Linked DNA regions of Struthio camelus. The protein of the gene in region 4 interacts with the protein of the main gene of each other region in a biochemical or structural test. Links are inferred from orthologs where the notes say so. Each region holds a gene or a part of one and is shown on either strand. Other genes may lie near its edges. The genes, in order: GPSM1, RGS19, RGS18 and GNAI3.

Region 1 (7,965 bases), on a different chromosome or scaffold from region 4:
CTGTGCTAGTGTCCTAACCGGGACTGAGCAGTTCAGCTCTGATGCAAGGCAGCTGTTGTATATCAGAGATGAGCTGTCACAGTGCATCTGTACATACCATAATACACTAGCCTGCCCAAGAGTTTCTACCTAGGTAATTAGATAAAGCTTCTCACTACGTCATTTGAAAATGATTGCTTGTGGGTCTGTAATAAGTGACCTGCAAGTAGCTGAGTGGAGATAAAGAACTGAAAGGTAAGTTTTTTGAAGGACACTGATGGTCCAAAGAAAGCACTTTAGAGAGGAAATTCTGTAAAAGGGAAGTGGAAGGTCTAGCTGGTAGCATTTGCTGTGTAGGCAGGACTTTATGGCAAAGACCCAAAGGCGGCAGTAGAGAGAGGTAGGACAGGAGGACCCAGTTCTTGAGATTTGATTTTGATTGGACTATTTGGGTTTTGAACAAAAAACCCCCTCTGAAAGAAGAAACTGAAATCTTGCCACTCTTGATAGCTGTGTTTGATGCTCTGTTGAAAGCTGGAAGCAGAACAAAGTAACATTCGAACAGAGCGCTGTGGAGCGCAGGGTAAAACATGACTTTACCCTGGGATCAGAGTGTACAGAGGCTGGAAGTCTTTGCAGCCAAGGACGCTGTATTCTCCAACTCAAAAGGAATTTCCTGTCTTGTGTTTGACGTCACCAATATGCCCACATGCATATTAAACTGCATATTTAAATCCAGCCACACTAAGCCCAGGATACATGGTGAGTAAGGAGACTGAGTTTCATTCCTGGATATGAAGGAGGCAACCTTCGTAAGTGCACGCAGTTCCGCAGAGCTAATAAACACACCAGCCCCATGGTGATTCCAAGTACGTTAGAGATATTTAACCATTGCCCTTAGCTGGAAGCAGGATCGGACAGGCACACAGTGTCTGATGCAGAAGATAATGTGGCTTTGTCACTCAGGTCTTGGTAATGTATGGTGATGAAGGCAGCACTGCACGAATAATTATGTTGCTGTCTCATGCCACTCCATATATCACTATGCCTGAATGTCAATAAATGGGAGAATCTGAAGCCAATAAATCATTCCTCACTCATTTAATCCCTTGTTACAGAAACACTGTTTGTTGCTTATGGCACATTTTGTCTCAGTTATAGTCTTAACTAGCTGTTTTGGGGACCTCTGATTTTTTTCAGGGTTATATCTGAGATATTCCCAAACAGATTCTCGTTGCTCTGGAAAATCTGATCTTTCCATATCTGTTCAAAAATTCACACTGACAGCTGGAAACCTAGTGACAGTTAAAGGGTAACAGATGTGCAGCCCTTCAGAAAGCTCCTCTGACAAGTCTCTCTGCAACGAGTGCCCAAAGCCTGCTGGTCTGCCTAGGGATAGTCTTAGCCAGACGAACTCTTCCCGAGCATCAGAACCAAAAAAACCAAACCAGGCAGAGTGCTTGAGCTGCACTATCTGAAGGGCTGAGCAAGCAGGGAACAGATTACGTTTCTCCTCTCCCCTCCGAGTTTGTGGCGTGCAGGTAGGGTATGTCGTTGTGCCTATAGCTTGTGCATTTTGGTGCACAGGGAACTGTTGCCCTGCCCTGCTCCTGCAGGAACACGCCTGCTCGTTGCATGCCGGCTCCAGCCCTAAGCAAAATCCACAAGAATCTTTGCATCAGCCTCCGCGGGTTTTGGGTCTGGTTCTAAGACACCTCAGAAAACCTTGTCATCTTGCAATTCTCCCCACCCGCCTACCCTGCCTCTTTCGTTTTGCAGTGCCTGGAGACAATGTGCAAGGAAATGTGCCGTTTTACCTGTCGATCATTGATTTAAATTGCCTAGTCCCAGGCCGGCGCTATAAATCCTTTTGTACAGCCGGAGAGCCCCGTTTCCTATAGGCCGTTTCCATGGAAACTCGGTGCTCTCCCACGTTCGGTTGCGCAGCGCAGGCAGCTCCGCTGTCCTTCGCTTCTGATTCCATTCACATATTCTCCTATTGATAGGGAAAAAAAAAGGCCATAAATAGCTATTTCCTGTCTTAACACTCTCTTCGCCAATAACTGGATGATATATATATATATATATATATATATATAAGCACATAAAGAGAACGCTCTGCCCTTTTCTAGACATCGTTTGGCACTCGGCATAAAATCTAGATATTCTGAAGGTCTAGTTCTTTCTTGACATGTTGTTTTTATAATTTCAGGGCCTCAGTAGGGAAACACAAGCTTAATATTTCCTTGTGTTTCTGGCTGAGATCACTGCAGAAGAGCATCTCTTCACTGCAGCAAATACCTCCCTAGACTTGGGGCAGCCGAGCAGCAGCCTGCTCTCTGCCTTTGGGCAGTTCTCTGCGCAGCGCCTAGTACAGTGCATTAACTGAGTATATGACATACACCATGGGGAAAGTATCTGCTTATTCCTAACAACGTGGGTATCTGCATGAGCTGTTAGGGTTAAATGAAAAAGAAGCAAGATCAGTGGTACCAGCAAAAACTCTGCAGCCAAGTTCGGATTCATCCTTAGGTTGTGCAGAGTTTAATACCTTTTGAACCATAGGATAAAATAATCCATTCCTTATGTTTGTATCTTAGTGCGTCTTTATGCAAAACAGCCTGGTCAGTCAAAAAGCACTGAGAAGAGAAGCGATATTTTCTCCCGTTGCTGATGAGGAACTGAGGCACAGGGAGACTAAAGAGCCAAATATAGAAGTGTAGCAGTATATGGGTAACAAACAGTCCCATGACATCCCAAAATCCATAGGAATCAAGAGCCTAAATACCCTGGTCTGTGGTGCAGGACTGAGTACTTGGCTGTCAGACTTCAGAACAGTACACTTTATTTTAATGAGCTGCCTCTTCCCACCATATGCTTGCTGCAAAATTCATGTCACATCCAGCTTGCGATCGAAGTCTAGATTTGTGCTTTGATTGTTTGCTAACTGGGAAGTGTTGTGAAAAGTGCTTCACAACATAAATTGCTTAGTTAGACACTGTAAAAAAAAACCAAACAAGTATTATTTTCTTTCCTTTTAGCTGGACATGTTTCCCCTCAATAAGGGAGATTGTAACACTTTCACAAAGCTAGGCGCACAGGGCCAACTAACAAGAAAAAGTAAGGAGTGTCCTACCTGTCTGCCAGAGCTGTAGGAACAGTAGAATTGCTGTTTACAAGACCCCTGGAATATATCTAGAGGGCACAAAGCTATATCTGCATGGCATGCAGCTGTTTCAAACCACACAGACTTAGGAGGAATTTCTTTTTTGGTTCACATATATATACACTTCCTGAATTTTGCTAGGCATTGTGGGTTATTGCTGTAAATATTTCCTAAGCCGTGACAGTGCACTATAGTAGGAACGGAAGACACTGGGAGGAGACCCTGCGGCCTCAACAGTGTGAAACCAACCTCCAGACACCAAACAACCTTCTACAGGATTGAGCAATTAGCAAGTCCACTTATCTTTGAATTGCAGAAACGCTAGAAAGTGACCTTGAAGCTCAGGATGGCAGAATGCAGCCGAGTTGGACGCTTTTTGTCCCACTTCATCATTGTGCATGTAAGCACACCACTAACGATCCAGCAGACTCACACGCTGCTCTCTTTTGGATAATGCCGTGCAGTGGGGTAAGCAGCATCTCTCTTCATCGGTTCTGAGCTGCAAGAATCCCGGCAAATCACTGAAAACCCTAAAATGGCTTTTGTAAGACGTCCACTGGGTATGCAATAGCCTGGGGTTGTCTAGTCTGCTAAAACCAGTAGGGGATAGTCTGAGTACCTCTGTAGAGAAAATTTGCTGTTTGAGGGCTGATGCAACATAAACGCCACGTGAACGAAAACGCTGGGCCTAATTCTGTCCTAGTCACAAGTGACAGGAGCTGTGGAGTCCGCAGGACACAATCATACATGACTGACTCATTTTGCTCATGCAGCTCTAATGTACAGATCTAAATGGATTTGCTCCTAGCTGCCTCAGCTCAAATTTAGCTCCCTGACTTGGGAGCTGCATGCGCTGCAGAAGCAGGATTTGGCCCAGTGATAGGTTTCACTTCCTCATCTCCCAGCAGATTTGTGGTCTAACACTCCAAGATGTGCAGCATAACATGCTGGCAATCTGTCACTCTCCTGGCTCTCGTCAGAGCTGACAGCTTGCTAAGGAAGATAGGTGCCAAAAGAGATGCCGGTCCGACTCGAGTGGCTTCAGAAGTGTCACCTGCGCACAATGGAGAGCACTGCCTGCTGCGGCACGTGCACTCCTGCTCCAGGCACTGCCTTGATCGACTGAACTCAGCAGACATGGGACTAATCCTAGACTTTCCTGTTACTCTTACAGTTTCCCATATGCTACATCTTCACTGAAAGTTGTCCTCCCACTGCTGAGGTTTCACATTTCTGCTTTGTCCTCTCTCTTCAGTACGCAAGCTTGCCTAGCACAACGGCTGCCTGTGAACCCGGGGGCTGTAATTAAGGCTCTTATCACTTAGGCACCCTAAATAGCTGTGGTTCCCTTTTGGGACAGACTCTGCATTCTTAGCACTGGAACCTCTAATCAGGCCAAAACGTTGGCTTGGACCGGCTTGAAATGGGAACTTTGCAACTCTGATCCACAGCTCGGGAACTCCTTGTTCGGTTAGAATTGAAAAGTTGAAGTAGTGCAGATATCTGAGCAGACTGCTGTAATATTTATTAGATTAGCAGCCTGAGTCTGCTGCTTCAAGCAAACTTCTCTAGAGACCGCAGGGATCCATGTATATGAAAGGATGTGGTATCAGTATCTTGCCTCACCATCTAAGTACTTCCCAGTAATAACAAAGACCTACAATACTGATATTGCTGCTTAAAGCACATCAGTAGCATTGTATAGCCTGAACAAATAACTGAGGACATAAAACAGAAACAAGAGTCAAATTCAATATCAACCAAAATGCTGGTGAAACAGTACATCAGTCAGCACTGCTTTGCAGTCATGTGGGACCTAGAAAGGCACACGCAGCCTCAGCTCAGGGTCTGTGCTGAAATTCACCCCATGAGGGCAGTAATTGATGGTCACTGTGGGAGGACAGCAAGAAATGTTTCTATTCCTATTTGCTTATCCTTATTCTATTCATGTGCCTTCAGTGAATCTCAGAGCAAACAGCAAGCATAGTCTTGGGAACTGCAGAACTTTGGCATATGTGAGAGAATATTTATGGGAAGCAAATTTAAAATTCATAAATGGAAGAATTTCACAGGAAGCCAATGCCTAAGGATCATCCAGTCAAGGAACAGAAAACAGCATCAAACGATCAGCCTAGTCTTGGCATTATACAGTGATTGTAGTAGATTCAGTTGTAATTGCAGATCCAAGGATTAGGGGTGAGTAACTTTGGGGGCAAAGAACTTCAGAGACCAACTCTTTCAAAGCAATGCCTGGACAGCATGCCCGCATGACCGAGCAAATTCACCAGCTGAGATGTGCCCTAAGGGTTGTTTAGCCATCTGCAGCCATAATCTTGGGAGGGTGTGGGACATGAGCTGGCAGGCCGCAGGCCAGGATGCCACTATCCGGTGAAGCCTGCCAGAAAGATGCTCTGTGAAAAGGCCAAGTATGAAATAGAAAAGGAGAGTGAACCACTGTGACAGCAAGGGCTTTCCTGCTGCTGCCCACTCGGGGCTGTCTTCGACCAAGTGGCAACTGGCAGCAGCTGAGGCCAGAGCGCCGCTGAAGGCACCGCCTCGTCTCCTGTCTGTGAGCTGAGCTTGCCCTCTGCTGTTTGCTGAATAAACTGTTCCTTCCCATTCATTTGAAATGCCAGGATGAGAACAGGAGAATAGGAGGACCTGAAGAACCACAAGGGCTACCCCAAATTTCAAATACTCAAACACTGTGACATTTAAAAAAAGGCACATCAACACAGGTGGAGTTGTCTTTATCTACCTTTTCTGAGCCTTCAGCATATACTAACTTCATATTCTCAAGCTTTTCTCTGCAGTCATAAAGACTAGAAACCCTATTTTTTTTTTTGATCATTTCCTCCTTTACTAAAAGCCAATATTCAGAATTAAAGCCCCTACTCTCCTGAACCTGGGGGCCTGATCAGGACAGCGCTGCTGACAGCAGGATCAAAGGCTGGATGAGCTTACAGAGAAAGGGGTGAGGAGAGGTGCCCTGGGTGAGATCTTGCGCCGGTCTGGTTTCTCCCCCTGCTCTAGCACCCCGTTCTCTCTCCATCCCAAACTGTGCAGCTTCTGTCCTCCCTCTCCTCTGTGGCCACCTGGCCCTGAGATGGGTCATTGCCAGGATGCCAGCTGCCCTGGAAGGGATGCAAGGGCTTGTCAAGAAAGCTTCTGGCACCTTGCCACGTGTTTGCAAGCTGAGATCAGCCTTCAGGCTCCTCTTGTTGCTGTTTGTTTTCTTCACACTTTCTAGCAGCCTCTCCCTGCACTATCGCTATTGCTATCGCTACCGCTACGGTTGCCCCGTACAGAGGGGCCCAAACAAAGGTGTGGTGATGCTTGATGGCCGGCTCCACTGGTTGGGCTCCCTGGCACAGCCTCCTCCTCCTTGGCGCACTCCTGGGCAGGGCAGGGGCTGACCTGGGACTCATCTCAGGTGAACCTTTACCGTGGCTGGAGCCAGGGACCGGAGCCTGTGGGTAGCTCAGCTCAGGGAAGGAGCAGAGACTGGGATATTCTGTGCTGAGTTCTTTCTCAGCTCGTCCTTTGGAAGAGGTTTCTGGGATTAATCTCTCTAGAAAGGCTCCAGCCCTCCCAGGGATCCTCTTTAAATGCTTCTTTAGGTGCTTTTGCCCAGTTCCTCAGTGAAGGGTTTGTTCCATCCATGGACGAGGCTACGAAAGGTAAGGTGTTAACCAGGCAGGAACGGGATATGGGAGGAAGCTGACTTTCTTGACTGTTTAGATGTGTAGTGATTGCCTAGAGCAGGACATTTCCCCCTGTGCCATAGCCCTGTCTCAACCCAGGACTCTCTCACAACACCGAGAAATTTAATGATAGCAGACAACATCTGCAAACGCCACAGAAATGTAAAGACAATCAGCAATTATGGATGAGGAAACAGTAGGTATAAGCAAGGCCAAGGCTGTTCTCAAAGGGCAGCAACGACTAGTCCTTGCTCATGGTTATTTCAGATATGGATATCAAGTAAGCAGATCTATAGCATGGCTGAAAAATGAGCAACAGTTTTGGCATCCGCAGAATCAATTCCACTAGCTGCTATGAGAATAATGAGCTTCCATTATCATCTGCATGGTCATAGTCAAAGACTTGGATATTTTTTATTTTAAACTAAGGATTTTTTGGTTATTTAAAGGCTTTAAGTGTTTAGTTTAACCTGGATTGTATGACTTCCAACACAATGAAGCAAATATTTTGAAGATTTAGAGTGCTGGACAGTTTTGTAACTCTTTGCAACAAACTCCCTCTTTCCACAGTGCTGGTGTGATTTTGCACTGCGATTAGCTAACTCAGGCTCAAATCTCAGGGAGAAAAGCACTGTCGTTTTACCTTGATGCAGTTAATGAAACTAAAGCCCAGGTGTACTGCTCACAGCTGGCCAAACAAGCAAAAACCTGTACCTTGTCGCTAAGAGGATTTTACAATCTGATAGCTGCTCTGATAGAAAAGTCATATCAGATAGAAAGATACACCAGAGCTGCACATAGGAACAAGAAAGAGGAGCTGCTGGCCTGAGTGTTGCCCTAGGACATGAGACATCTCCCCACACCCTTGCAGTCCTGGAGGAAGGAACAGATGAGTAACCATGTGAGGGTCACACACTTCAATGCAGATGTACCCCAGGTACCTCAGATAAACTCTCTCTTAATTATTTTACTTAGTCCCATAGACCAACTTGCAAGGAAAGTTCCGTTTCCGTATAAATCAAAGTTGGGGGCTGATCTAACCCACATAAATGGTTTGCCATATCAGTAGGAAAGGCTTCCTAAAAGAGAGATTCCATGTTACAAGATAATAAAGAT
Region 2 (7,381 bases), on a different chromosome or scaffold from region 4:
GACTAAAACAACTTGCGGTAACCTCCAGTTATTTTTTCTTCCCTCAAATTAAAAGGTAGCTGTTAAATAAAGTATATAAACAACTGCCTTTAGATCAGTTCTCAGCAGATCTCTTGCAATGGAAATGTCTACAGAGATATGCAGAGATGAATAAGGAACTGAGTAATAGGAAGTGTCAGTGAGCGCCGCGGGCTCCGGGTAACCCGGAAGCGTATGTCACGGCAGCCGAGAGCCCGGCGATGCGGCCCGGACACGGCGCCCGCCCCCGCGGTTCACGCAGCGTCGCGGCCCGCTCTGCAACGGGCCGGGCGCCGCGAGCGGCCCCGCCGCCGGGCGCTCGCCCAGGGACGGGGCATTCGGGGGAAGAAGGTGGCCCAAAAGTACAAAGAGAGCCGGAAGGGGAAGGCAGGGCGCAGGGTACGCTTCCCTTGGCAAACCCCCAAGGGGGGCTAAGGAACTGAGCGCGGCAAAGATTTTACCTCCTCTTGAGCAAATTTTCCAAAATAAATTTATCCAGAGGATAAAAGCTTGGGGGGAAAAAAAGAGTAAAAGCCATGGCAGTCTGAGCCCGCTCTCTGCAGAGACCAAGCAGCTCTGGGATGGAGGGGTCAAAAGCAAAAGCAGGCCGGGCGCGCGACGACGCGCGAGGAGCCCAGTGGGAACAACGCGCTGCCTCCCAAGGCTGTTTTGCCATGTGTACCTGTTGATCACTCGATGCCACAGACACCCACGAGGACGAGCAGGGAGCATGGAGCTTGCCCAGACCCTTTGCATGAGCCCTGTTGAAACTCAAGAGGCTGTAGCCCAAGCCCAGTCTAAAAGTGAGACTACGACCGCAGATAAGCACAGATAGGAGAGGATGCACTTAGCGCAGGGAGAGGGTGGAGATGGGCTGCTCCTGCACCTAGGACAGACTCAGCATTAATCACTTTGCCAAGGTATTTTTCTCCCTTACCCTCTCCGGGTTCGAGTAGCATTATCTGATTACCTGCCTTCAGTTCCTATTTTTTCTTAAATAACAACATCAAAATGGACACACAGACCCTGATTGAAACATATTCGAGTCACTAAATCCCTGCTTCTCCACTATAATCTTATGAGGTGGAGTTTGTTTAATTGCTGAAGAACACGACTGTATTTTGATTAGCATGCGGCTTGAGTCATTTGTGGGGAAGGGCTGACGCGGAGGAGCTAAAATCCTTGTAGGGAAATCTGATGTGGCGTTGTCCCCTGGGAAAGATATTCTGCAATACGTGCCCACTGGGGCGACCCGTTTTCCCAAAGCAAACGACACCCACCAGGACAGCAAAAACAACAGGCTCTGCTCGTCCAGCGTGACACGGGACGAGCGTCTCTACCGACGGCGATGGTGGAGACGCATCCAGAGGGGAGCGAACTCCCCTCGCAGCGGGGAAATCCCTCCCACTCACTTAACACTTTTTGTTTAGTTTCTTAAATAAGGCCACGGACCGGTGCCAGAAGAGCCTCATGGAAGCGGTGGGGACAGGGAGCTTCCCGAGGGAACCTCGCCATGCCCAGAGCCGTAGCGCGAGCCGCACGTGCAACACCTCCGGCGGCCCGCGCCTGGCCCTCCGCACCCCTCGGCCGCGGGGACGCGGCGCCAAGCGGCGGCACGGCACCCCGGGATGCCGCCCACGGGCCGCGCTCGTGCCGGGTGACAGGAAGCCGTCACGCTGCCTTCCAGCGGGACGGCGGGTGGCGGGGGGAGCCGTGGCCGGGACACGTCCGACTGAGGTCCCCTCTGCCCAACCCTCCAGCCTTGCCATTGCTAGAGGCCAGGTGACCTGCTGGGCGTCCCCCAACAAAGAGACCGGACCCCCCCCGCCACCGCCACCGCCTGACCTCAGCCAACCTCCCCGAGGGGCCGGCGCTCGCCGCTACCCCACCGGCGAGGTCAGGGCTCCCTGCAGCTACCGCGCTCTGCTGCCGGGGACGACACCCGTCTACACATGGCGAGACGGGAAGCCACAGAGGGGCCCAGGCGTCCTGCCTGGCCGAGGCGGCGTGGGGCTGGCTGCTCCAGGGCTGCCCTCGCACACACCTGTGGGAGCAGGAGGGCCAGGGCAGCCCTGGGCTGGCCGAGGCCTCGGCGGACACCCCCTCCTGGCACGCTTCCCCCCCCCCACCCTCCCCCGGGGCCGGGTAAGCCCCGCTGCAGGCAGCCCTGCGCCTGGAGGGTGCCCCCCTCCCTCTTCCTCCTTCCTCCTCCTCCTCCTCGCAGGGGCCCTGCCCTCTCGCCGGGGTGATGCAGCGCGCCGCGGGGGGGGGGGGGGGGGTCCCTCGCCCTGCCCGCCGGTCCCCGCGGAGCCATCGCGGTTCCCCCCCCCCCCCCCCCCCCGCCCAGCGCGGCGGCAGCCCCCCTGGCACACGGGGCTGGTGACAGGCAGCAGCCGGGCACGGATAGACAGACGGACGGACGGACGGACACACACACAGCCCGAGCTGCCCATCAACCCCGGCGCTCGCTGCGCGCCGCGGGGGGAGCATGCAAGCATGCATGCATGCGGAGGGGCGCAAGCAAAGCGGGAGCATGCGGTGCGGGGGGGGGGGGGGAAGCGGGGATCTGCCCGCAGCCCGCCGCGGGGAGGCAGCGGCGAGGGCGAGCGAGGGGCGGCGGGCCCGGCCCCCGGCCGCGGCATCCCGCGGGCAGCGCCGGCCGGGCCGCGGGGTACTCACGGGCCGGGCATCCGCCGCCGCCGCCGCGCAGCGCCCTCCGCCGCCGCCGCCCGCTCCCCGCGGCCGCCGCCTCTGCGCTGCCGCCGGGCTCGGCACCGCAGGGAGAGGCAGAGGCAGCGGGCGCGGAGCGGCGCGGAGCGGCGCGGCTGCACTGCGCACGCGTCCCCCGGCCCCTGCGATTGACTTCCTAAAGCAATTGCAGCTTTGGCACTTCCTCACGTCAAAACACACACACACACACCGCCCCGCACCAGCACCCAGTGCACGCACCCGCTACCAGCACCTGCACCGGCGCCCAGTAGCAGCACCCGCATCCAGGACATGCCCCCAGCATCAGCACCCGGTACTGGCGCCATGCACAGCACCCGGTGCCAGCACTCGGCACCAGCACCCTGCACCAGCATCCAGCTCCTTGCACCCAGCATCTACCGCAACACCCTCCACCAGCACCCTCCACCCCACCAGCGCCCTGCACCAGCACCCAGCCTCCCCCAGGCACCGTGCTTCCTGCCCTCTACGCCAGCACTGGGAGGGAACCATTCCCGCCCCAACACACTCCCGCCGGAGCGGGGACGTCACCTGCCCCCAGTGTGCAGGCACTGGGCAAAGGCTCAGCCAAGGGAAGGGGCTGGAGGGACCCTGCTCCTCTGCCTTGCCCCCTCCGGGCCCTTGCCTGTCCCCAGCACATGTGGCAAGGAACAACTGGGAGAGAAGCTGCTTGAAGGATTGCTTTCCCTGACCCAAGAGTCCCTGGTGAGGAGTGGCTTTCCCTAAATCAGTAGTTTCTCTGCCTTTTTTTTTTTTTTTTTAAGGGGGATTATGTGTCTCTAAAAATAAAGGGTGATAAAACTTTGGGAGAGAAAGGAGACATAAAAATTTCATGATCTTGCCAGCCAGGGAAATTATCCCACTTTATTATTCAAAACCTCATTAAAACCCATTTCCCTGGAAAAGACAATGATCAAACCACCCTCTACTTCAGTCCCTGAGACATGCGCTCTGTGACGTGGGGAAAGCAGTTAAAAGAGGCCTTTACTTGTGACTGCTCAGCTGAAAACCCAAACCTGACCACCCTCCCCTCCCATGTGAGTAACAGACCTCCTGGCTTACCCCAGGTCTCTGCCCCTACGCACGGCTAGATTATGTTCCAGACCCTGCGCCTCCCCGCATTTCAACCTGCTGTTTTCAATAGTCTAGATTTTCCTCTTTTTACCCATTCAGCTCGCTCCAGCAGGAGCTAGAGAACATTTGGTCATATAGGACCTGGTTCTGCGCCAGGATCTCGGTGGATGAAGCAGGGGCCTTCCTCAGGTCCCTCCACTATCAGCTTTCCCAACTCTTAGAGCAACTTCAGTGAAATGCTGCGGATGTCAGGCTGTCCCCTTCCCCCACAACGCAACCAGGATGCCAGCCCTCACCTTTGCTTTAGCGTGTAATTTAGCTGAAAGCTCACAAATGTCTGTAAAGGCTCCCACATCCTCAAGCACTGTTTTATGTTCCATGTTTTGGGTTTTTTATAAATCCCCATGAACACTTGGTTGGTGATTCTCTGTGGCTTTTGAGTTACCATCCCTTCAGATACTAAAAAGACCATGAATGTTTCATTGAAAAAAAGTCACCTTTTAAAAAAGGAAGTGTGGATGGGGAGAAAATCTGCAGCCGCTCGCAAATTGCCTGCAAAGTAGTGTTATCAACAAATGGCCAAACTAGACTGCAATCTTCCGCTCACAATGTCACAGCTTGTCCTTAATACCTCCTTTTTAAACACACACACACACACACACACACACACACACACACACACACACACACAACCTGGAGAAGAAAATGCATCTTTTCTAGAAATTGCAAATGCTCCGTTAAATAAGCAGGAACCCTGCTTTAATTCAGCTTTGAGTTTGGAAAGCTGCTTTTCTCCCAGGCCCACCGTCCACCCTAAAGAAGTGGATGAAAACTTTCGGTGCGTGGATGTGCTGGCCCCCACTCCAAGGGCTGGCAGTAACTTCTGGGAAAGCCAGCCACCCCCCCCCCCCAGCACTTTGAAAGGGAACCTAGGAAGGAAGGGGCAGTCTTACTTGAGCTGTTTCTGTCATAAGTGGTAATTGCTCATGGCAGAGGAGCTGAGATGTTTCATGACTCAGGTGGAGATTACTTGCATGCAATCAGCTCTTGCAGGGTCCTGTAGCCTCTCTGTTACTTATCACCGACTTTGCACAAACGTGGCAAAAACTTCCCCAACCCTTTCCACCCCAACCAGCTCCCTCTTCTGCAAGCTCTGCAATCTCCGTCCCACAGAAAGGCAAGAGCGTGTTTCTAACTCCCCGAGAGGGCGGGCGATGCCGCCCCCGGGGGGCAGCGGCTCTCGCCGGGGCTGGCGGTGCGCGGCGCTGGGGGAGCGGGGCGGCGCGGAGGTCGGGCCGGCTCCGGGCTCCCGGCTCCCGGCTCCGGGCTCCCGGCGCCCGGTGCAGTAGCGGGGCCAGCCCGCAGGTGCCGCCCGACTCCGCCGGGAGCGCGGCGGGCGCCCCGCAGCCCGGCCCGGCCCCTGCCCCCCGCCGCCTGCTCGCCTTTTCCGCTCGGTTGGCGATGGCTCGGCATCAGCCCACCGAAACCCACTGCCCGGCGGGGAGAAGGAAAAATTTCCGGACTCTCTCGGAGAGACAATCGAGACTGCAGTTTTGCTGGATGTTGGAGAGCAGCTGTAGCTTCTTAGCCCAGCACTGGTATTTGGACAGTGGGGACATGATCCTAAGATCTGCTAATGTTGCACCCTTTTGGTGCCCTGTAGCCCTTTCTGAAGGGAAAGTGTGTGCCCTGACAGGGTACAGCAGTGCCTTCAATGGACTCCTCCTGCCCAGCGGTGCTGATGGAGATCCCCCTAGGACGGTGCTGAGTAAGCTGAGGTGCTCTCTGCTTGGAGAGTATGGGTAGCAGTGTGCTTTAACAAGTGTTACACAAAGAAAGCACTTGCAAAGCTTGTTTTCCTTCTCAAGAAGAAGGACTCCAATAACTCCAGGCAGGATGCTTGGGAGCAGGAAGCATCCTTCAGTGGACATCTGAGGAGAGCCAGCCTGTGTCAGGACTGAGATACAGCGTGGCTCCCTATGGCTCTGCACACCACCACCTGAGAGAGAAAGCCTGTCAACGGTTGCTCAATAGCCATCTCCAAAGGCGCTCTGAAACTATCAGCCCTGCTGGAGCAGCCGAGTGGGCTGAGCTCTCCCAGTCTGTTTCCAGCCCGTGCACTCTCCCGGAGACTGGCAGGTAATGGGACAGGATACCTGGCGTCTAGTCAGGGACGCATTGCTTCAGAAGGGCCTCTTGCTCTCACCAGTTACGTGGGACTGCTAAGACTCCTCAGCAAACAGAGGGAAATTCGGCTGGAGCGACCGAAAAAATGAATCTGGGCCTGGAGCTCTGAGGTACAGCAGCACCTGCGCTAAGACGGCCAATGCGGGAGTTACAAGAGCAGCGCTGCTGAGCTGCCACTCTGCAGGAAGTGCTTTTCGGAGCCGAGACCGTAGAGGTCATGCTCATCCTCTCTCTGCTGTCTGCTGAGGGCAGCCCGCGGACGCCCTGCGGCACGCCTCGCAGGCCACGTTGGGCTTCTGCGCGGCCACGCAGGCTGCCCGAGGTGGTGCGGTGGCAGCAGGCAGGACAGCTGCCCCGGAGACCGCTCCTTCTCCAGGGCAGAAATCCACCCTGGGTGTCTTTGCAGAATACCTGGTTTGGGCTGTGCAGTTTGATCCCTGCCAATTTATTCCCTTTTGAGAAATAGTTGGACATCCTTTATAACCGTTTTGCTTTTTTAAGGCCCTGGAGCTTCCCAGTAGATATCAGAGCCACACAGAGGTTACTAAGTGCCCCGTTTCACACGCAGACCCCTAGCTCATGTGCTAACTCCACGGCTTCCTGTGATTGCTCGCACACTGACTGAAAAGAAGAATCCTTCTAGGTAGGGTCGACGTTTATTTTCACTCTGCGCGTTCCTCTCGGCTTTTTCTCCCCAATAACAGGAACCAACTACATATTGGCTCCATGAGCTCTGCAGCCACTTCAAAGCAGCTCTGAGTTCCACTTTCTACTTCCTTTCATTAAAGGCACAGACGAAGGGATCTGATCAGTCCACCTCCTTCCCACGGGGGCAGTAAATAAGCCGACCTGAAGTGCAAAGAGCATCTCCCCTGTGCTCAAACTCCCAGATAAAGCAATAGCTTGGAGTTCTGCAGTGCGGCTCTCCATAGGTTGTAGAGCAAAGTTTAAAAAAGGGTTTTTGCATCACCAGGGGCAATGCGACTATAAATTCTATCATGTTTAGTGGAAAGAGGGTTCGTTATTTTGATTTCCTAATATAACAGGGCTTATGCAATCATCTCGTGTATCAGCGTACTCACATTCTTCTAGATTCCACTCTCTGAAAACTTCATAACCCTTTGGCCAGTTTTAGTCAAAACTGACAGAAGTACAGAGTTCTCCAATGTAATTCAGGTCCTACAATTACAAACAGCTGGGTGGAGGAGAATGACCCTGCAAAAGCTGCAACTGTGAGAGAGACTAACATAGTCTGTCATGCCTTATTAGACATCAGAGAATCCACATGGACCTGACACTTGATTGATGTCTAAACCGTGGGAAAAACTTCAGACAGAGTTTGTGCCCTCTCAGGCACCCAGGTCAGTCCCCCAAG
Region 3 (7,116 bases), on a different chromosome or scaffold from region 4:
TATCTTCTTCTTTTTTTTTTTTTTCATTTTTTTTCACTGAAAATAATCTAAATCTCTTTCTCCATATAAAGTATATCTATATATAGATCAACAAATAAGTACTAATTTCTCTTCTATACAGTAAGAACAGTACAATCCCTGTTAGTTGAGCACCTGGCCGAGAGTAATGTGGTTAAAAGTAGTTGACTGAGCAAGGAAGTGGTGATGTCTGGTAGAAGAAGGAAATTATTCATTTATTGCTGTTGTATCCACCTCCCTTGAAAGTGCCTTTTTGTAGGTGATTGGAATGTATTGATGACCATGTACTTTACATGAAATGCCTAAGTTTTATCAGCCAACCAAACAAAAAATCATCGAAAGTAGAACTCATGATTGCAAGGTTGTATATTTGAGTGAACTGTAAAACTTTTGAGTTAGTTAAGCTTTCTGTCAGCAGCGACACAAGAAAGAGGGGGAAAAAAGAAAATAATGAACCTACTCTGCCCCCCAGACTGTGGGGTGGAAAGTGGTCCAGAGCATGAGTGCTTCCTGTCATTTGAATGTGTGGAATATTTGGATGTATGAGCAACAAACATAGTGTAACTATCCAGATACACAGATACAAGTGTTTAGATACCAAATTGTTGGGTTTTTTCATGGGTTCCAAAAAATGGTGCTTAAGCCTTGGTATAATTTTTACTGTATGTCCACAGTTGGTAAGGGTTTGTAGAAATAGTTACTGAAGTCTTCTGGTCAGGGTGCAGGCATCTTGGCCTCAAACACAGTAACTACTGAAACAAGTTTGATAAGTTTAACAAGAAAGCAGACTGAAACTAGAAGCACTGAATTGTTCTGAAGTGATCTGTGAGGAAAAGAAATGAACTGCAAATTTTTTAGACCTTGAAGTTGTAGTACTTTAAGCATTCCTTCTTCTCAGTCAAGCCCTACAATGGCAGCGAAGCAGGTTGGTGAGATCCTGGCTCCCCAGTGAAGTCAGGAACAAAGCTCTTACTGAGTTCAACAAAACCAAGATTTCACATTACATCTTTATAGGAAATAGTATAATGTGGAAAATATTACACAATGTTTAAATGACCTTTTTGGAGGAGGGAGGAGGGGACAAGACAGTGTTCTATCAATTATTGCAGTCACTGAGGAACTATGCATTCAGGTTTTGATGTGCAGCTGGTGTTCGTACATCACAGGATTCTTTGGAAAATTTATTTTCCAAGGAACTGTATAAATTCTTTGTAAGAAGTAATTTGTCAGGCACGTACCCAGGTTAATTCTTGTTCAAATTTGTCAATTAACTAAGAAAAATGCTGTTGGTATGAATGAAGTTTATGTATATGCATGTGTGTGCATATGTACATACTTTTTTTTTATACAGATACAAATGTATTTGAATTCAGGAATATGAAGGAAAAGTCGTGGAAAAATTCTTAACAAGTACATACTTGCCTCCATACTAATTACTATAATCAAAGTAAGTGGTACACAAAGACTATAAGAAAATGAAAATTTGGATTTGAAGTAGCTTAGAAAAATGTGGATTACGCTATCCACATTTTTCTTCCATTTTGTTTCTTCCTTCCCTTCTTTATTTTAAAGAAAAAAATGTTTGCTGGGTCAGATCATACTTCATACCACAGAAAATCTCTCTGAAAACTATATAACGACTTGAGACTCACCTATTCATTGCTATGAATCTGAGTAGCAGTCTACACCTATTAGTGTAAAAAACACGAGTGATGAGTTAACTTGATGTATACTGTTTGTATGCTTGGATTAGGTTGCTAATTTATAAGTGAAATAGATCTTAAAAGCATTATTCTCTGCCAAGCCTGAATGCGCACAGGCAAATGCAGGAAATGTTTCGAGTCACACAACCGCTTCCTGAAAGGAATCTCCAGTCTTGCAGTGTTTATAACACTCACCTTGCTGCTTTTGTCAAGTGTGTAGGTTTGCCAAGATGATCCTCTTCATGGAATTCAGATTTCTGCAGGAGAAGGCTCAGCCTATTTCTCTTCTGCTTAGCTCTACAACAAAGTTCAGGTAGCTTTTAAAGCAACATGTTGAAAGATGTTGTTCAAACATTTCCTTTGACTAGTATCTCCCTGCCTCTGCATTACAGATCATTACTTTCTACATTCAGCTATAGTAATGTTGATGTTTTTTCGCCTACATATTAATGTTCATGTTAATGCATTTCTTCCTTATACCTTAGCATGAATTTACATATGAAGCACTGGCAAAGGGTAATGGAAATCTTTTCATTTATATTTTGCATTTATTTTCACTTATCTTTTTCATTTGTTTTAAAAATGGAGGTGGGTTAAATTTCATGTTAGTGAATAAGTGCAGTCAACATCTTCTATTTTTATCTTTTTGCAAAGAAAAAGGAAGTATTGCTTCCTGTCATTTCAAAATTTTAAAAAGAAACTTCTCCCGATCTTATTTAGGCTTCAGAAAGGGATTTCTCAGAATTTCCCACTTTCTTGTTAATTATTTGATTTGTTTCGTATTCCTATTCTTAATAAATATTCCCTTGATGAATTAATATTTTATGGATACAATTCCCAGACTTGCAGTTCATGAGTGTTCACATATATCAGTCCAAAATAAAAAGAACTATGCCCTAAATTCATACCCACCAGCTATGTTAGAAGAATCCCCTATGTACACGGACCACTCAAAGTGTAAGTATGACCTTAAAACTTACCCAGGCTTGCTTGCTTTATTCGTCTCTTCTTTATTTGCTGTTTTCGTGACTTTGTAATAGGATTTATCCTTGGAAGCAGAAATGTTTAGTTGGGGAAATAAAAGAAGTGGATTCTCCATCTTCCTCTAGTAAAGCTTCCTAGTTTCAGCAAATGGTTCTTCAGCTTCCTGACAGCAGTTGCATCTAGTGTAATTGGTGCATTCAGGAAGGTTGTCGCATGCTGTATCTGGCTTGATTGCTACTCAACCAGTGGTTGAAAAGTTTCCAGAGCAGGTAGTGGAAAGAAGGAGGTTCTCCACCTTCGCTGTCACTACAGCTGCACGTAGGCAGGACTTTAAGTAGAGTTTTGTTTTCACAGTCGTCATTCAGGGAAGTGAGATTACAACTTTGCAAAATGGCCGTTGATCATGCACATAAACATGGCTGTAAGCGGAGAACAGCTCCTGGTTGTGTGTGTGCGGAACTTGATGGTTTGCTAGACTTCGGATGACGCTATCATTTTCTCCCAAGCGCTTAGGGGAAGTGAATAGAGTGTCTCTAAAATGAGCTCTAAAAGAGAATCATTTTGTACAAATTAATGTGTAGCGTTGCCTTAAGCCCTTAGAATAACTTTTAATTGACTTTAAACTGCCCTCTGCAGTCTCTGTTGCTAAATGCTGGACATAGAAATCAGTTTTAGCTACAACATGCTAACTTGACACTCAGAGTCTGAGTCTCTCACAAGAGCCGGATGAAGCTGTGTTTGATCAGATATTTTGTAAATAGAGATTTTAATTTTTGCACTGTTTTTCAGAAGTGATGAGTACCTACTTCTGATTTTGAGTTTGTTCACGTATCAAGGAATGGTTTGCAATACTGAACAGTGTATTTATTCACTTTTTGTTCAACCCTAGGGCATTGTTGAGTACTGCAGTTTTGAAAGTGAGTTTCTTCTGTGAGTTCACATCCATCAGGCATTAGATAGGAAAGTCATTGATTGTGTATCAGCACCAAGGTCATTGTTTATTAACCCAGTTTGATTACTTAACAATCTGATCTAGAGCTGAACAAAGATGTTTGAGAATGAAAGGTGGAGAGAAGATATGACCGCAACATCTTACAATGACTTTGACTGGCTCTGCCCACTGGTAAGTTCTGATGAGAGTCCCACCAAGGCCTTTCCTCGTGCCTGGGGAGTTGAGGAGAGGAAGTACTAACAGACAGAAGAAAGAAAAAACTCTTCTAGGACTCTGAATTCCCGAAATGGAACAAAGAAAAAACCTTATTTTTTGTTTAAGAACGAGAAAAGAAAGAGAGAGCACTTAGTTACTACATCTGTAACAAATTTCAAAATCAGACTGAATAAGAAATATTCCGTTGCAAAACTGCCTTCTGTAGCCCCAAAATCTCTGAGAGACAGCGTTATACATTTCATTTTCAGTTTCAGAATACGCCTATAGATCATATCCTAGTAATTGTGAACTGGGTTTAACCACAGAGCTGTCTTTAATAATGTGTTCTATCTTTTACCAATAAGTAAACAAAATTAGAAAACATCTTTTTATTTGACTTTTCTGCAAGTCATATGAACTTTTGTTGGCCTATTGATGTGTATATAATACTATCTCTGTGTTGATCTGTCATAATTTTATTATCTGGTGATTTCAGTTCCTGAAAAATATTGTCAGTTGTGGCCTTAATACTTCATATAAGCTGATTTAAGAATGATTTGTAGCATGGCACTCCATTCATAACTGAATTACTTTCTGGTGGCCTTGCCACTATATCACGTGAGGCACAGATGGAAATGACCCATTATGTCACCTGTTCCAATGTCAAGCCTGTGATGGGTTCTTCTCAGCATATGCTGGAATGGCTTGTCCAATCCATTTTTAAATGACTGTAAAGCAATGGGTGTTGTGTCTTAAATGCCTGAAGTTTTGCTGTAATATTCTCTGATGATAATATCTATTCTGAATGCAGTAATGTAATGTGCATCTCTTGGGAATTTATTTGAAACTCTTGAAAGGAAATATAGAATAATTGCAAGCACTCTTTTTTTTTTTTTCCATTAGTAGAAAGCTAATATTAAATCCAGGCCCATGAAGCAGGCAAATAGCATCAGAGTAAGGCTGTATCTTGTCAATGACGGTGCTGGTGCTAAAAAGCATTTCTATTTTCCACCATAGGCCTCAGTCTGCTGAACTGTATTCACAGACCTCCTAGAAGGTTTTTAATGATTTAAAAACCCTTAAATCAAGGTCATCTATGCAAAGTCAAAGAAATATTGAGATAGTGATTTATTACTTGTAGAAAAGAATAAATACATTTTTCAAGAGCTTTCATACATCGATGAATAGAATGTGTGTTTTCAAAGCATTCTTTATTTCATTAGAAAGCAAGACTGAACAGATCATAAAGTACTAGAAGTTCTTTGCAGTGAGGTCCTGGTCTCTTCAGGCCTATTCGTCAGTTGTAAAGTTTCTGCACTGACTTCCATTGGTATTAGATAGGGATCTGTTACAGTTAATAGCAAAATCATGTTTGACTTCTCTAGGACCAGTAATTGCCCTCTGTGAAAGAAAAATCGACGTTAGCAATAAGGATGTTGCGTTATACTCTGCATAGGTTATAATAGTGCTTTGTTAAAGGTAAGCACTGTAGGATTGAGAATTTCAATTCAGTTGAACACAAGTGAAGCCTTGATTGAGTGATTCATTTCAGCACTAAGAATTAGAGTGCAATCAGGTCTCCTTTGCTAGCAATCCCTCTGCATCTTTCGCAAAATTATTTTTGTTGCTTGCTAGCAAATTGTTAACCTTTCCTCTTTTACACCTGTGCTCATGTCCTATCAATATCTAGGCTTTTCCACAATGGAGTTCTGCCACTGTTTTCATTCAAATCCGTTTTTACCCACTTTTACCCTAAGTTGTAGGGTTATGCTGTTTTATTTTCTGCTAAGGGAAGCACTATTCACCTTCGTGTCAAGAGAAAAACAACATAGCATGATCTCTTCATCGTCTTGTGAAGAATAAGCATGGAAAGAAACTTCTGAAGAGCATAAGATGAAAGTGAGTATTCCCATATTTTTCTTTTTCCTGCAATGGGAGCTGACATGTTTTGAAAGAATTTGGTTTGGAAAAATAGCTCTGCTGCTCTTCAGAAACATCTCAACAATTTATCAGTTTCATCAATATTTATGTTGTTTACCCATTACTGCAAACCATAATTGGACCTACCATTTCATAATGGTATAATCCAACATACAGTTGTTTTATTTATCTGCCAAAAAAACCCCATTTTTGCTTCATGGAAAAATACCAAGATGAAAATAATTTTATTATAAATCTCAAGTAGAGATGCTTGCAGTCTGCTAATTCCATGATTTTCTTTAGTGGTGCACTTAAGAGGTTCATCGTAATGGAGGAACTTGGCATGTGGGATACTTCAATGTTAGTGGAAGAGAAGCATTGTAATACCTCCACACTGTTCGTGTTACAGAACTTCCTTTGATGGCTACTGTTTAAAAGGAAGGAAACAAAATTGCTTGCTTCAGATATGCATCACTGAAAACAGCCAGTAATGCTTTTCGTTTAGGGTCCATGGGTCCTCTCAGCTAGGGATCTCAAAAGGGTTTTGTAAGACCTCCACAGTGAAAACTCATGCTTTGTATCTGTCATGTAGCCTTATGTCTTTTTGACACTCAGGTTCTGTTTCTGGACAAGCTAGTGAATGTTATTTTGGGCAAGCCTAGCTTATTTTGAGATTAAAAGGTTACATTATCACAATTCTGTTGATTTCAGTAGGACTCCTTAAATACCACATTTTAGTCCACCGTAAATAAGGATTTCGTTGCTTTTCTGTTTTCCTCTGGAAAGAAGTTCAATTGCCAATAGACTGGAATAAGCTATATTAATTCAAATGAAATACCAGTCTCTGACTAGGTATGTATGACATATCTAGAAATGAAATAGGCAGGTTATGGGTAAGCATGGAAAGGAAGACCTTTCCACTGCTTTATCCACTGGAGCACAGTAGCTCCGTTAGTGATGGTCTTGCAGGGATTTCTGTTTTTTCCGGGTTTAAGGTGCAGTGGGCTTCAAACGCTAGCTTTTTCTGAAATGGCGCTCTTGAACAAAGGCTTTAAGAGTTGTTGAACTCTTAAACTATTTACCTAAGTTTATCAGCTTTCATGATCTGTGTAAATCACTTTTGACCTATAGTTGCAGCTGATGTGGTCTGCTAAATTGCTTGTATTTCAAACAGAAGTTTTAACTGTCCCTTGAAAATTCCTTGGGAATCTTAAGCTTTTGCACAACTTTTGCTATGGAAAAACACTTACTTGTGTGCTAAACTAAATTCATTTATTCAGTCTTTTGAAAGGTCAAAATAAGAAAGTGAGTCTGCAAAGTTCTCAGCTGTATTCATTTCCTGCC
Region 4 (8,169 bases):
TGATAAGTTATTACTATATCTTATCCTGGACATTTTAATGTGTTCCAAAGAAAAAGTGCTTGCTCAAACCATGGAAAAACTCATGAACTTTTCCATCAGCTTCTTGATGTCTCACTGAAAGGACCCATGTTCCTACTGCAAATATTTTCTCCTAGCAATTAACTATCTTGCTTCACCCGCACATTAACAAGCTGCATATGAGGAGAGTACATTTTGGCACAATCCGGTATTCCCTCTAATCACTAGCAATTGTTACGCTAATTTTTAACACTAGAAAACCTTGACATTTTAAGTTATTGCAGGTTATGGCCAAGTGCAAACCTGATACGAGCGCACTATTTTTTAAATGAGGCTAGAGACAGATCAGAGAGAGAAGTGATCCAAAATACAGCTGCTACTTGTACTTTTGAAAGTCTCACCTTGTGTCTACATTAATATGCTTTGAAACCGATTATTGCATAATCTTTTGGGTACTCCTTCAACTCTGTCATTTGCTGAAGAGGAGGTCATGCAGTTTAGCTCCAAAATGCTTTTCAATACGGCCACAAAGAACATCAAGCCGCACCTCTTACAAGGATACAAGTAAAAACAAGTTTTAAAAAAGGATTCTTGAGATTCAGATCATTTGGAAAGCAGACTTGTTAGCCAACGTGTCCCAGTCTAACAGGAGAACTAAATGTCATTGTTCTAGTCTTCATGAACTCAATCTGTCTCCATCTGAAATGGAGAATGTCAAAGTAACAAAAAAACATATGGACATTAGAAGACGACGACCTACATGACATGACCAGATGGGTCCACCTACAACCCTAAATTTGCACTGCTTATTCCTTAGCTCATTTGAAGTTGCAAAGAAATGGAACAGGAGTCTGCCTATATCTAGCAGGCTTCATCAGAGAAGGGCATCTTTTCCTTCTCTGTACCCTACTTATCACTCAACAAGGGCTTCTAAACATGGTTACTAGAACATAGACCAAATATGGCAAGTTATTTGCAATCCTTAAATATTTATCCACTCAGGGAAGTATAATAAGAAGATAGTTCTCCACTAAACATTTTATTCCATTTAGATCCTCTCAAAGATTCATGAATGCCTTTTAGCTGGAAAAAATAAAAGTGCACAGAATTGACACTTCCTTTCTCAGCTGCTCCGTTTTCTGTACATATAGAGATTGCACTGAGGTAGCAGCAACAACAACACTTTTGCTTTTTTGCGCTCCTGCAAGCTCTGCAGAACAAGTTCAGCTATGGAAGAGTAAGGTGGATTCACATCTCATCTTTTGCGCAAAGTCAGATCCTATCACAGGATCTTTACTGTGGTAGCATGAGGCACAAAAAACGTAGCATGATTAGCAAAGACAGCTTACACAGAGCGGGCATTTCTGATCTGAGAAACAGGCGTCCAAAGAGCCATTTTCAGGGTAAAAGCTAACTACCAGATAAAAGGATTTAATTCCATTACCCTATCTGAAGCAAAAAGCTGAACGAGCATGCCTGCATGACTACAGACTGTATATTGTCAGTATTCAGCCACAAGCAAGAGGTTTTACAGTGATCTTTGTCACGCAAGCACAGGATACCCAAAGATGAAGGAACAACGAGACAGCGGAGCTAACGCTTTCTGCTCCCAGAGCCCAAGACCAAAGCCACCAGAGACAGACATCACCCAGAAGCAACCAGGAAGGAAGACTGGTAAGGTTCAGACCCACACTACAGACAGAAGTGTTACTTCATCAGGCAGAGTCTGGCTAGTAAAAAGCCCCACCCTGGGACAGCGTGCTAGAGAGCAGCGTGCTCCTGCCGTGGGTGAGAGTGGGACAGGCCATCTCCTCCCTCCTCAGAGCTGGGTGGCAATCCTAAGGGAGCGGGGCAGGCTATGGTCTTCCAGCAGCCCCACCAAGCAGGTAACAACCCCGGGAAAGGGATGGAGGACCAGGGTGGAGCGAGGGGTCAGGCCCATGCCCGAGGCTGGCAACCACACTAAGCGCCAAACCCTCCCCAGTGTCACAAAGGCAGAGCTGTCCCTCAAAACGGCCTTTTCCCAGACTCACCTCAGAGCCCTTCCCACAACTCCCTTAGCTTTCCTACAGGAACCCTACCTCATCCCAGCCTCTCCCCCTTTCAAACCCCTGAACTTCTTTGTCTTGCTAACACTTTCACCCCTCTTCCCTCAACATCCCTCTGGGTAATCCCTCACACATACACACCCCAACAGCTTCCTCGATCCCTGCTCACCCCACAGTCACCTCACCATCCCTCCAGACACCCCTCTCCCCACCACTCACCCTCTAGAGACCTTTTAGCCTCCCCCAAACCCCTTCTCAATCCCTTCCAGATAGTCCTGCCCTCACCACCTGGCTCCTCCCCTCAAAGACCCCCTAAAACCCTCTGGAGCCCTTGGAAAGCCCCAAATCCCCTTCCCAGGGACTCCTTCACCCTCTCCAAGCCCCGGAGTCCTCTCCCAAAGCCCTCAGCCGTCCCAACGCTTCTCCAGGCCTTCCCTCGAGCTCCCTTAGCCTTCTCAACCCCCTCCCGGACTCTGGAGGTCTCCCTCAAGCCTCCTCTCCTGAGACTCCTTAGCCCCTCAAGCCCCTTCCGAGCCCCCAGTCCCCCTCAAAACGCTCCCTAAAGCTCCCTTAAGCCCCCCCTTTAGAGGCTCCTTGGAACACCTCCCCCCCCCGGCACTACAGAGTCCCCCAAGCCCCCCCCGGAGCCCCTCAGTCCGTCTCAAGACCCCCCCCCAGCCCTCTCCCCTCCCCAGAGCCCCTTTACCCCCGCCCGGCCCCTCCTCACCGAGCAGCAGCAGCTTCACCTCCTTGGCCGCCTTCTCGCCGTCCTCCCGCAGGTTGCGGTCGATCATCTTGCTCCGCTCCACCGCCGCCTTGTCCTCGGCGCTCAGCGTGCAGCCCATGGCGGCGGAGGGCGGCCCGCCGCCGGGGAGCCGGAGCGGGGCAGACGGAGCCGAGCCGAGCCGGTGCGGGGCTGCGCCTTCTCGCTTCCCCTCAGCGCGGGCGGCTCCGTGAGGCGGCGCCGGATATCCGCCCCGCCGCGACCGTTACCCGCCCGCCAACCGCCCCGGGGCGGCGCCGCGCGGGCGCGGGCGCCCGCCGCGGGGCACGCCGGGAAATGCAGTCCGCCGCCGCGCGGGGCGCGGGGCACGCTGGGACTGGTAGTCCACGCGCTGCATGCGGGGAGTTGGAGGCTGCCCCGCCTCACTTCCGCCTCGGTGGAGCGGGGCGTGATGGGAGCCGGGGGAGGGTGGGCGCCTCACTTCCGCCTCGGTGGAGCGGGGCGTGATGGGAGCCGGGGGAGGGTGGGCGCCTCACTTCCGCCTCGGTGGAGCGGGGCGTGACGGGAGTTGTAGTCCTGAGGGAGGCCCTGCGGGAGGGGAGGGGGTTCTCTGCACGGCCCCATAGCTGCGCCAGCCCCACAGCTGCCCCGGCCCTGCCCAGGCCCAGCCCCACGGCCCGTGGCAGCCCCCTGCCCGGGGTGTTTCCCTCGCTCCCCCCCAGCTGCCCCACGCTCGAGGGCACCCGCCACCACGGGGGGCTGCTCCTGCCTCGACCCGGCCCAGCCCCACGGGGCGCTGGGGGGCAAGCGAGCCCGGGAGGCCCCAAGGGCGGACGCGGGGACCGAAAGCGAGGGGCGGCCCCCGGAGATCAGCCGGGGGACGGGCACCCACCACGGGGGCAGCTGGCCCCAGGGCAGGAGGGGAGCCCGGCCCGGGGGCACCCGGGAGGCGGCGGACGCCCCGTCCCCTGGCTGCGCCCGCCCGGGCAGGGTGCCGGGGCCGGACGGGGCCAGCAGGACTTTTGGGGGACCCCCTCCCGCCGACCCTGCTGAGACGCTCCCGGTCAGGACCGCCTGACCCCCTAAAACCGAGGCCCCGCCACGCTCCAAAACAGCTCCTCCCTGCTTTGTGACCCCGAAGCTGCCTCCCCGGTGGGGACCCGAGTGGGGGGGGGGGGGTGACACGTCCCGGCTCCGGCCCCCACGGCTGGGGAGCAAAGCACAACCCCGGCGAGGAGGGTGCGGGCGGCGGGGACAGCCCCGGCAGGTCCCCAGCCCCGCGGCGGCCGCGTCCCCAGGCGCCCCAGCCAGGCACGCACACCAGCTTTCCTCTTGCAGCCGTGTTTGACCCCCCCGGGGACGCTACAGCTCCCGTTTGGGAGAGGTGGCCGCCGGCACGTAGCCATCGCCGCCGCCGCCGCCGCCGCCCCGGCGCTGCTCCGGGAGCTCGGCCGCCTCCTCGGCGATCTGCCCCGGGATGCGGAAGTCGACGGGGGGTTGGTCCCGCTTGGGGCTGGGGGTGGCGGGCCGGGGCCGGGGCTCGGCGGGGCAGCCCGTGCCCTGGAGGAACTGCAGGAAGTTCTCCTCGATGGAGCCCTCGCGGCTGGGCAGCCGCAGGTCGTCCTCCGGCGGCTGCTTGAAGAAGCAGGTGAGGAGCCGGCCGAGCTCGCCCCGGATCTGCCGGTTGAGGCACCCGTAGAAGAAAGGGTTGGAGGTAAAGCAGAAGTAGCCGAGCCAAGTGACCACGGTCTCGGCCTGCCGCCCCGCCGGCGGCTGGGGGCTCAGGGCCGTGTAGAGGTGGAAGGAGAAGTAGGGCAGCCAGCAGAAGAGGAACTGGCCCCCCACGGCCAGCAGGATGGCGGCCGCCTTGCCGCCGCCGAACGTCCTCTGCGGCGTGGTGCGCGGCGCCCCTGAGCTGGTCACCATGGTGGAGCGGCTGCTGAGCGACTCCGAGCGCCGCCGCGGCGTCTCCATCCAGGTGGGCAGGGGGCCGTGGTGCATGGCGGCCACCCGCGCCACCTTGAACATGCTGCAGTAGACCACGACGATGATGAGGAGGGGCAGGAGGAAGTAGAAGGCGGCGAAGAAGACCACGAAGAACTTGCAGTAAGGCCCGCGGCTCCACTGCAGCGAGCACCCGCGGCCGGCGGGGGCCGGCGGCCGGTCCGGCGAGAGCCAGCCCAGCACGGGGACCAGGGAGGTGGCCACCGCCTTGAGCCAGACGCCCACCAGCACGCAGGCCACCAGCCCCACCGTCATCTTCACCTCGTAGCGCATGGGGTGCACCACGTAGTAGTAGCGCTCCACGTTGATGGTGGAGATGGAGAGGATGCACATGCTGATGAAGCAGACGCTGAGGAACAGGTAGACGCGGCACATGGCCTCGCCAAAAACGGGGCTGTCGAAGACGGCCGAGCCGGAGAGCATCTCCAGGGGCATGAGGGTGAGGGCGGCCAGGAAGTCCACCAGGCAGAGGTGGAAGACGAAGACGAACTTGCGCAGCGCCGGCGTCTTCACGATGACGGTCATGACGGCCGCGTTGCCCACGATGGCCGTCAGGTCGATGAGCAGCATGAAGAAGAGCCCCACCGACTTGGAAGCCACGTCCTTGGGCTTGGCGTCGGCCGTGCCGTTGGCGGGCATGGGGCCCGGCGAGGGCTGGAGCGGCCGCGCCGGCCTAGAGCCGTTCCAGGCCCACGGCGCAGGCAGGGAGGGCTCCATGGTGTCCCGCGGTGGCGCCGGCCCTCACCGGCCCATCGCCCATCCTACGGGCCCCCCGCGAGGGGCCGCAGAGCGTCGCCCCCGGCGCTCACATCCTCGCCGGCCGGACCCCGGCCCAGCCCTACGCCGGCCGGCGGCCCCGGGTGCTGCTGGCCATCGCCCGGCCCCGCTCCGCCGGGCGCGGGACGGGTGCTGCGGAGGCGGCGGCGCTCAGCGCACCCAAGGGTTCCCCCCGGGCGGGCTCATCTCCCGGCTGCTCTGCGCCGGGCAGAGCGGAGCACCTGCGGGGGAAGGCAGAGAGGCGGCCGGATCAGAGGCCCCCGCGCGTCGGCGTCTCGGCTCAGCCCCCGACGGCGGCCGCTGGCGCCCCGGGGCGTGCCTGGGTCCCCCCCGGCGGGGAGAGCCGCCGGGCCCCACGCGGGGCTGCCCTGGGCTGAGAAAACTCCTTTCTCAACAAAATGTCTCATTTCCTTAGGAAACGAGCAACCCCGGGGCTTAAAACCCCAAACTCCGATGTTTCAGCCCAAAACAGCCTCACCTGACACCTGGAGCCCGGGGACTGCCGATGGCGCGGCTGGGACCAGCCTGGGACAGCGCGGTCCCAGTCCCTCCCTGGGCCCGGACGCCTGGGCTCACCCCTTATCCCCCCACCCCGAACACGTCCCGGGATGGGTGCCGTGCACCCCTCACCCCAAATCCCTGGGGGGGGGGGTGGCAGCCAGCGCGGCGGGGTGCCCGGCGATGGGGGGGGTGGGCACCCGCTGCAATGGGGGTGTCACCCTCCCTTCCCCACCCAAGGGTGCTACCCCAGCGCGGGGCCGGGGTGTGGGGGCAGCACGGGGAGCCCCCGGGGCCCTGCCCCGTTTTGGCAGGCCGCGGCCGGTCCCGCCGATACCCGGTGGCCCCCGGGCACCGGCATCCCCCCGGGGGCGGCCGGGGCAGGCTCGTCGGGGTGGGTGGGGGGGCACCGGGCACCCTCCCACCCTCTCCCCCGAGCCCCTATGCACCATTCCCCCTGCATCCCCCCCCCCTCCCGGTGCCGGGGCTGCGGCCTTCCTCCCTCCTCCCTCCCCCCCCCCACCGCAGCAGGCCCGGGGCGACGGTGAGGGGCGAGCGGGCGGCCCCGCGCCGCTTCCGCCCCGGGGGGCGCCCCGTCGCCCGCCGCAGCCCCCGCCGGTAGCGGCGGCGGGGCGGGCACCTACCCTGGGGGGGGGGCTCCATGGGGGTCGGCGGGCCCCGGCGGCCGGCTCGGCGCCCCGGTGCCGGGCGGGGATGCTCGGGGCTGGGCCGGGGCCGGGGCCCGCAGCCGCCGCAGCCGGCGATGAGCGGAGCCGGCAGCTCCCGCACCAGCCGCGCTGCTGGGTCCTAAACGCCTCCCGCCGGCGGCCCGGCCCGGCCCCGGGGGGCAAAGCGCGGCCCCGGGCCGGGCCGGCGTGCTGGGGGGGGGGGGCGGAGCGGGGGTCGGCGCCCGGGGCCGCCCCACCACCCCGCCGCTGGCCCCGTCCGCAGAGACGGAGCCCGGCACGTCACCGACCCCCCGCTTTGCCCCCGGGACGCCCCTCGCAAACCGCCTCGGCCCTCGTGTCGGGCCTCAGTTTCCCCAGCCCGCGCCCCGGCTGGCAGCGAGCTGCCTGGGGGCTGCGGCGGGTGTTGAGGCCCCCCCGAGCGGGTGCTGGGACCCGGGGAACCGGCAGAGGGAACGTGCCCGGGCAGCGCAAGGGGGCCGGGGCGAGGGGAGGGTGACGGGCGAGGGGAGCGCCCAGCCGGCGGCGGGGAGCGGGGGCAGCGCGGCCCGCGCGGGGCGCGGAGCCGGCCGCAGGGGGCTGCCCGAGGCGAACGGGGCCGGGAGGGCTGTGCCTGGCGGGTGGCGGGGGCACCCAGCTCTGCCCGGACCCAGCCCAGCGTCCCTTCCCTCTCCCCCCAGTGCACCAACGGAGCAACGGGGACCAGGGCAGAGCATCCCCTGCCATGCACCGTGCCTCAGTTTCCCTACGTGCCCAACTGTTTGCTTGCAAGGGGGTTTCCATCACTTCTCAAGCCCCCCCAAAGCCTGCGCAGGCTGCAGACTTCCTCCTGGCAGTGCCCTGGGCGCAGGCCTGGCTCTGCGGGGGCCCAGGCTCGAGCGCCAGCCGAGCGGGTCCCCAGCCGAGCGGGCCGGCGGCGCGGAGGGGTGGCGAGCCGGCCGGCCGGCGAGGCGGGCGATGCATATTCATGCTGCAGGCCCCGTGCGTCACGTGCCCTATTGCTAGGTTACGAGGACCCAAAAATAAATCCTTCCGAACGAGATTAGAAACGCAGGGACCTCGGATGAACCGGGTCCGGCGCACCGGGGAGGGGAGCCGCTGCCGGCAGCTGCCCAGCACGTGCCGCTCGGGTCCCCGGCCTGGCACGAGGCGCTCGGGGCGTGCGGGAATGCCGGCAGCCTCCGGACCTCCTCCAGCCCCGCATCCCCCCTCGCCTGCCCTGGGCCCGTCTCCTGCGCCCTGTGGTCCCCCGGTGCCAAACACGGCCATGGTGAAACACAGGCATTGAGTCCTCTCCGAGCAGCCGGGACCCTCTTGTCCTGCTAACCTTGGTGCACCCCCTAACCCAGGTGCACACAGCCGGGGTGCGTACCCTAATCTGCATTCATACCCTAACCCGGGTGCAAACCCTAGC

What was found.
Region 1: the proteins of GNAI3 (region 4) and GPSM1 form a complex in vitro, tested with the Homo sapiens proteins (2 studies listed by BioGRID). The link is inferred for Struthio camelus from reciprocal best matches to the Homo sapiens genes GNAI3 and GPSM1.
Region 2: the proteins of GNAI3 (region 4) and RGS19 form a complex in vitro, tested with the Homo sapiens proteins (3 studies listed by BioGRID). The link is inferred for Struthio camelus from reciprocal best matches to the Homo sapiens genes GNAI3 and RGS19.
Region 3: the proteins of GNAI3 (region 4) and RGS18 form a complex in vitro, tested with the Homo sapiens proteins (2 studies listed by BioGRID). The link is inferred for Struthio camelus from reciprocal best matches to the Homo sapiens genes GNAI3 and RGS18.

The regions. Positions count from the first base shown.
Region 1 is NC_090961.1:3,520,066-3,528,030, reverse strand, and holds the start of GPSM1 (G-protein-signaling modulator 1), read right to left. Parts: upstream 3,254-7,965; 5' UTR 3,116-3,253; intron 2,879-3,115; exon of another isoform or gene 2,768-2,878; intron 1,976-2,767; 5' UTR 1,808-1,975; coding exon 1,797-1,807; intron 1-1,796. UniProt on the Homo sapiens protein: Guanine nucleotide dissociation inhibitor (GDI) which functions as a receptor-independent activator of heterotrimeric G-protein signaling.
Region 2 is NC_090959.1:17,475,585-17,482,965, reverse strand, and holds the start of RGS19 (regulator of G-protein signaling 19), read right to left. Parts: upstream 3,036-7,381; 5' UTR 3,021-3,035; coding exon 2,981-3,020; intron 1-2,980. UniProt on the Homo sapiens protein: Inhibits signal transduction by increasing the GTPase activity of G protein alpha subunits thereby driving them into their inactive GDP-bound form. Binds to G-alpha subfamily 1 members, with the order G(i)a3 > G(i)a1 > G(o)a >> G(z)a/G(i)a2.
Region 3 is NC_090949.1:10,191,857-10,198,972, reverse strand, and holds the start of RGS18 (regulator of G-protein signaling 18), read right to left. Parts: upstream 3,161-7,116; 5' UTR 2,821-3,160; coding exon 2,702-2,820; intron 2,019-2,701; coding exon 1,917-2,018; intron 1-1,916. UniProt on the Homo sapiens protein: Inhibits signal transduction by increasing the GTPase activity of G protein alpha subunits thereby driving them into their inactive GDP-bound form. Binds to G(i) alpha-1, G(i) alpha-2, G(i) alpha-3 and G(q) alpha.
Region 4 is NC_090965.1:4,178,723-4,186,891, reverse strand, and holds the start of GNAI3 (guanine nucleotide-binding protein G(i) subunit alpha-3), read right to left. Parts: upstream 3,144-8,169; 5' UTR 2,912-3,143; coding exon 2,794-2,911; intron 1-2,793. Other genes in the region: GPR61 (G-protein coupled receptor 61), read right to left, coding at 4,153-5,511. UniProt on the Homo sapiens protein: Heterotrimeric guanine nucleotide-binding proteins (G proteins) function as transducers downstream of G protein-coupled receptors (GPCRs) in numerous signaling cascades.